Caenorhabditis elegans: one gene and its partner. The protein of the gene in region 1 interacts with the protein of each later gene in a biochemical or structural test. Each region holds a gene or a part of one and is shown on either strand. Other genes may lie near its edges.

Region 1 (3,756 bases):
ATGGGTGGCATAGAGACCTGCCATTGAACATGACCAGGTTTTGAAAATGGCTTGGGAAGCAACATCGAATTTAAAACGAAACGTGTAAGTAAGGCCTCGTGAACTAATGGAAAGAACAGCGTTGACAGGTGCTATTCGTCCGCAAAAAGGATTGACACAACTGACTTTTTTAGGAATTAGTGATAAAATCTTCAACAAAAAAATTTGAAGCGGAGTGATGTGTCATTAACATTAGAACATTTAATCGTCATGAAGACGCCTGATTGTAAGTACACCTAAAGTGCTGTGCCGAAACGATAAAAATTTAATATGTATGGTTGAGAATGTCACATTTGTTCGATTGAAAGCTAAAAGTTATACTAAAATTTATACCTAAAAAACTATTGTATCACATTTTTCGGAAAAAAAAAAGTTTTTGTTTTGAATAAGAAACATCTATTGACAAATTGGAAACTCTACGATGAACTAAAAGCAAATAAATATCTTTAAATGAGTAAAATGTGTTTCTTTTACAGGAAGTATAGAAAAATCCTGCGGAACTATAAATAGATTTAGACGGAGAGACGAAGATTAGAAAATACAACAAAAAAGAAACTCGCGTTGTTCTTTTACCAATCGCAACATTTCCTATGTTCTCGAGTTGTCCGAACGATTTTGTGGACCTTATTTGTTTAGCTAGGGAAGTTTGTCAATAGAACTACCAACGAAAAAAATGTGGTAGGTGACGGAGATGAACGAACACAACTAACTTAAAATGACCATAGCTCGCCAATATAGACTTTCAATTCGAAAACTGTACTTTTTGGACAGAGAAAAAAAAAACATCAGGTCAAGAAAGTGCGTAAATGGGTTGGCTGTGAATGAAAATTTAGAAATGGATATTTTTCAAAGCCAAAAAATAATTGCAAACGTAACACGATGAGCATGGCACGACAAAACTCGGTGGCAGTTAACGATCGGTACGGGAATGATAATTTTTCCGCGAGCGCACTAGAACTGAACTCTTATGAGATGGACAGAATGGTCAGTATAAAAATACTGATAAAAGCATGTTCTTGACAGACAATAGCCAACATTTTACAAACTTATTATTTGCTTTGCCCACCAACTTTATTAGTAGTTTATCACTTTCTGTCTTCAGAATTAGGGACTGAAAAGTTATTAGGCAAATTGTACAACAAGAATGTGCTTGAAAAGAAAAAAAATAAGATGAAATGTAATTGGGTGCACATCGAGTGAACGAGAAAAACAAAATCGGCAGACGGAGGAAAAACAATTTGAATTCGATATTCGAATTCGAATTCGCTAGTGTCAACTGAGAATCATGTGAGTGAGAGAAAAGAAGGGCAAAGAAAAACTAGATCATGTTCGTCGTATAGCACGGATTTCCTTTTTCATTCCATTTTTTCAGTTTTTATCCGAATCACTATATTGATAAGAACATTTTTATAAACCACTTCAAATTTGACATTTAAAGTTTTTCCAGTTGTTTTTTGTTACCTAGACGTTTTTTCAAGTTAAACCTAGGTGTTCGAGTGATTTTTTACTTTTGAGAGACGCATAATACCGTAATCAAATCTAGCTTAATTTGAGAAAACATTACTTACCAAAAAAATTGCAGATTTGTCAGATCTGGGAATGGAAGAATGCCCGGCGGACACCAGCGTGGAATAGACGACTAACTGCAGAAAGCGCACGAACGCGGTACTTCGATAGAAGCGGAGAGAGGCGCTTGACGACGAGACGCACTCCCCTGCAGAGATATATTGCTATTTGCCAAACATACAATGAACTGAAGAGACGTAGAGACCTCCCAGCGCCCGAAGCCTATGCTGAATTCGGGGAGAATTTGAGAAAATACAACGAGGTTCCTCCGACTCTCCCCGTTTGCCAGTACTATTTTACGCCACCCATGCCTGCGCCTCCTTGTGAATAAAAAAGAAAGAACATATAGAACGGATCGGCGGGCATGGTTGAAACATCATGCTAGATCAGGAGGTGATAGACACAAAAACGACAGTCGCTTCTTTTGCCGCCGCTCCCCTCTCCGATTCTTTTTCTTCTTCTCAGCCTGCCCCGATCAACCTCAATCGGCACGATGTTGAGTTTCGGCGGTTATTTCTTCCCATTCGTCACTGAGAAAAAAAAAGAAACACACACATGAAAATACATTCAAAAAAGAGACAAAAAATTGAGCACTTTTTTCCGAGTGGTCCGTCCTCCGAGTCTCCAGGGATGCTCAGGATTTTAGGACAACATTTTTTATAGGAAACAAAACCCATGGTCAACACAAGTATTCTTCTAATATCCGAAATATCTTCTTGTGTTCAAACTACCGTACTCCCCTGTTCTCAAGGGCAAATGGTTAGCAGTTCCACTCTTCCGATTGTTGAATTTGAGATTCGCACATTTTTCTCTAGGCAATTCCCTATTTTGAAACATTCTTCATTACACATTCGGTTTTATTTGCCTTCATGGAATTTGTTCTCTAGGCGCACTTTTCTCGAAGAGATCCTTCTCCAAAGAACATTTGTCAGTGGGAGCGGGACGTGTGAAGAAAGATAGAAAACAATGATGATGATGAGGAGGGTTGGAGAAAAGTCCAGGAAAAAAGAAAATAAAAATGTGCATGTGCACTGAGGCTGAGGAGTCCTAGAAAGTCTAGAGAAGTCATTTGGAGATGAGAAGAAAGAAACGGAGATGGGGACGACAAGAAACAGGACCATTTATTTTTGTCTGCCTCTCACCCGTTTTCTTTTGTGTGTGCAACCATGTGATGATGAACATTTGCACTAGTTCCTTCATTTCCTACATTTTGAAGTGACTCGCAATAAGGGGCCGATAAGAAAAATGCGAAAAAGGCCGTTTGATTCCGCATTTCACACTTTAGTTCAATATTCCTTCGGCATTCATAAGCACAATGCACTTATCGGTGCGGGAAAATGTAACACACCAAATTTGAATCAAAAACTACTGATAAGAATTCTCGCTTTAAACAGTCTTCTCAACTCTCATTCTATTTCTCTCTCACGCACTTTTTAGCGTACACTACTGCGTTGGAACCTGGCAAAATTCGGAAAAGGGTGGAAAGAAAATATGATTGCAAATAATAATATTAATTGAAACTCGCTTCATCTTTTTACGTCTCTGGGCACGGCTTGTGTGATGATAGGTTGTCCGTGAACGAGACGACGAACCGAAAGCGCAACGAGGCCTGATAAGGCGGGAAAGATTTGAGAATGTGTTAAACAATATGAAGCTGTAGATTGGAAAAATATAAATAATCGAAACGAAAAAGTGGCTGCGAATCGAGAAGTTAGAGACACGGCAGCAGAAGAACGACCAGTCACCGAATGGAAAGCTCCAAATGCTCAATGATGAGGAGATAGATGTTCTCACAAACCCACACAGATGTACTTTTTCTGGAAGATGAAGGAAAAAGAACAGTTGTCCATCTCCCGCAAGCCGTTCATCATGAGCCCCCCCCTTCTCGCGCCATAGAAATTGTGCAATCGGTATCCATCACCGTCTGTCGCAACACTTTGTAATCCGTTTTGCATTGCCAATTCATTACACTCTTGGTATGTTTCGATATCTGTCTGTGTTCAATTGGGTGCTCTCAAAAATCGACTTTTTGACGTACATTTTTCTGTCTGTTTTCCTCATTTAAAACCTCACGCGCCCAACGCGGTCAGCTGTTTCAATGCTGATTGCATATTGAAATCAAGACTTCAATTTGAATGAAAATGCAAGGGT
Region 2 (3,756 bases), on another chromosome or scaffold:
AAATGTATTTTAATACATTTTCCCCCTATTCATTTGTGCAGAAAAGTGTAAAAAAACGCATGCATTTTTTACATTATTCGACATTTTTTTACATCGACCGACATCCCATTTCACATGCTGAAGACGAGAGACGCAGAAAGATGTGTGGTATTTCTCCGCGTCTCTCGTCTTCAGCATGTGAAGTGAGCTGTCGTTCGATGTAAAAAATGTCGAAAAATGCATGCGCTTTTTTACATTTTTCTGCACACATGAATAGGGGAAAATATATAAAAAATGCATTTTTCGTCATCATATGAACAACCACATGATTTTTTCGTTGAGCAATTTCAAAAGTAGAGCATACTAGAACGAAAACCAAAATTTCTACAAGATATTCACATTAATGATAATTATATGTGTTAATAAGCATATCTTGAATGAAAAAAATCAAAAAATCTGCGAAACTTGAAAAAAGCGTTTTGGCACATGTTAGATGATTTTTTTTCAAAATGTTTAAAATTCTTTTCAAAATATCTTGAAGCGAAAACTACTGTAACTCTTTAAAAGAGTACTGTAGCGCTGGTGTCTGTTTACGGAAATAATTTATTAATTGATCAAAAATATCAAAAGAAAACACAAAAATGACAAATTAAAATTCGTTGTCACAATTCGAGCATATATTCGTTTCGAAAATCGAGCCCGTAAATCGACACTACAATAGTCATTTAAAGGGTTACTGTATTTTTCGCTACGAGATATTTTGCGCGTCAAATATGTTGAGTAATGCGCATTCTCAGAATTTAGTGTTCGCATCAACATACAAGGTTGGCTGGGAAATGCGTTGACTGGAGGAGATGAATAATTGTGTCGATCCGATGAATGAAGTGCACGCGATCGAGAACGAGATCTTGCTCTTGAGTAGATATCCTGATAAGAAGTGAATGATGACACTGAAGAGACGCTGTCACGGTGAACTCGGGTCGGTGAAGTGTAGCCGGCGGGGCTCAATGCGCGGCTCCGACGATGGCTTGCCGGTGACATTGGACACTCGAATTCGACAGCATTCGAGTCAACACTGGAAAAAAGGGATATTTGAAGGAGATGTGTGTGTGTGTGTGTGACAAGTATTTTCGGCAAATCTACAAAATGGCCTTTTGCGCCACGAAAATTAGTGTTAAAAAATAAATAATCACTCGAGCTTTCAGTAAATAAAATATATTTCACTTCAAATATTTGGGAAAGTGCATAATTTCCGATTTTCGGAGGAAAAAACCGTGCCGGTGGGTTGCAAAATTACGATCCGCCTCTTTTTCCGTGAGACCCTTGCTTTTGCGCCGAACTTTAAAAACCTACGATCTGGCGAGAGGTTCAAGAACTTCAGCAAGTCCTTCGTGTCCCGTAGAGCGAAGAGCATCATAAAACGCGTCGAACGCCACATCTCCCCGTCGTTGCACTGCTTTCACGATCTCCCGTCTCTTCTCGCGAACCGTTCCACATGACTGCAAAAATATTCTTTATATTATCAATTTTTTTTTAAAATTATTATTCGATTAAAAACTCACATTAATCATATCTCCATTATCACTATTCAACACTTGTTTTGCGATGAGAACTTCGAGAATTTCATCGACTTTTAGATGACTAGAGAACATCATAATGTTCCTCTCTAGCAAGCTCCTTCTATCTTGACGCATCATCTTCGGCTGATGGTTGACCTCTCTACTGACCCGTAGTCAGAGTACGATTTGATTTTCGATTTAGTCTGAAAATGAGTGAAATTATTGGAAAAATAGTGTTTTTTTTTAAACATTGTCCTCAAAATTCAGCTCGATTTGAGTAATTTTTATCGATTTTTTTCCTAGTTTTCGTCAAAAACTCCAACAACTGCACTGAACTACGAAAAAAAAGGTGAAAGTCAGTAAAATCGGAAAATTTTGACCCTCTTGAATTTTTTATCTTGATTTCTGGCGAATTTTGGGGTTTTTTTTTGTTAAAATTGTTTTGAATCAGTTCTCTTTTATTTTCGCAAACATAAAACACAATTTTCAATGAGAAATCGTTATTTTTAATTTGAAAACTGATTTTTAAAATGTTTGTTGTGTTTTTGTTTCTGTTTGTCAGCCTGGAAAATATTAGAAAACTGATTTTAAAAATTTTAACAGAAAAATTCACGAAAATTTTAGTAATTGAATTAAAAATGCAAGGAGAATTTAAAAGTCTATCAAACTTTTTGCGTGCCGAGACCCATTGGAATAAATCCGTGCGCCTTTAAAGAGGAATGCCAAAATCTTGTGAAATTATTACGGAAACACAAAATTCAGAGAATGCGTATTACGCATCATATTTGGCGCGCAAAATATCTCGTAGCTAGAACTACAGTAATCCTTTAAATGACTACCGTAGCGCTTGTGACGATTTACGGGTTGTCAAAATTCGAAAAAAAAAATTATTTTCAAAAATTGAGCCCGTAAATCGACACAAGCGCTACAGTAGTCATTTAAAGAATTACTGTAGTTTTCGCTACGAGATATTTTGCGCGTCAAATATGTTGCGCAGTACGCATTCTCAGAATTTTGTGATTCCTTAATACGATAATGTCGAGCCGATTTAAAAGACTTTACCATTTTTTGTAGTTTTCGGTGCTATTATGATAATTTTACGATAAATTAATACTCAAAAATCGGAATTTTAGCGGAAATATTATAAAAATAAGATGTTAGCACACGAAGAGAAAGTGCTGCGAAGAAATCATAAACATTGAGAAGATATTCTTATGGATTGTATATATTGCGTAACAATTTGGAGAAAGTTTTTGGCCGGTTTATTGCAAATTTCGCGGAAAAAAAAGTTTATGATGGGCTCGTAAGCATGCCGATGAGAAAAGAAAGTGGATTGTAGCAGCAGCAATATGAGTCACCCATCTGGACAGTTCACATTTCTAAACGATAATTGAGACGGAGCAGGTGGCATCACGGAAGAGTGTACCGAAAACAAAACCGGGACAAGTTGAGGATACCAAGGACGACAGGAAAATGATGAAATGTGGTACAAAATGAACCGGGCGTTTACCCTGAAAGCTCCTGATCTCATCTAAGATTCCAACCCCGTCATTTGCCTCCATGCACAAATATAATGCGATTTGGATTGTTTAAAGCATTGAAATTGCGACAAAGAGCTATAAAATCGAAAAGAGCATACCAAATGAGATACACACTGCTTTCCTAAGTGGGTTTCGAAGAACACCGCCAAAGAGGTGATGGAGTGGTGGGGCTAAGGAAGAAGGTGCCGGAGAGGTCAAACATGTGGAAATCTTAGGATTGTTTTTGTTTCACATTAATTGCCCTCGTAAATTTATTTTTGGATTTGAGTATCGAAAATCTATGAGCCATGAACACGGAGCGGTGAGGTAAAGGTAAAGGTTTAAAAGTAGTTTTATTAGTAAACTAATCGTTTTTCACATAAACAGTGGTTTTTTTAAACGAAACAATGCAAAAACCAAGGTTAAATATTATAAAATCGACTTCGAGAATCTCAGAATCTTTCTGGCAACAATAAATCGGCGAGCCTTTTCTTCAATTGATGTAATAATTGCTTAGCAACACGTTCAACAAAAAGAACAAAGAAAAAAACGACAAAAGATGACTGCAAGATAACGGAAAAGGAGGCACAACACACGAATGTTCGAACGTTTGTTTTTGGCGGCTGAGTGTGGAGGTCAATGGAGCGCGTTTGCTCTCACAATTCTTTGAGACGCTGCCGCTCGAGGATGAGCATGAA

Evidence for each region. The genes of interacting proteins can lie anywhere in the genome.
Region 2: of the proteins of lin-14 (region 1) and ced-3, one has a biochemical effect on the other in vitro, tested with the Caenorhabditis elegans proteins (one study listed by BioGRID).

Annotation. Positions count from the first base shown.
Region 1 is NC_003284.9:11,463,519-11,467,274, reverse strand, and holds the start of lin-14 (Protein lin-14), read right to left. Parts: upstream 1,716-3,756; 5' UTR 1,608-1,715; intron 100-1,607; exon of another isoform or gene 1-99. UniProt on the Caenorhabditis elegans protein: Heterochronic protein which controls the choice of stage specific cell fates. Involved in the temporal progression of vulval fate patterning, possibly by inhibiting lin-12.
Region 2 is NC_003282.8:13,202,391-13,206,146, forward strand, and holds the start of ced-3 (Cell death protein 3 subunit p17), read right to left. Parts: upstream 1,748-3,756; 5' UTR 1,677-1,747; coding exon 1,542-1,676; intron 1,479-1,541; coding exon 1,333-1,478; intron 1,055-1,332; coding exon 801-1,054; intron 1-800.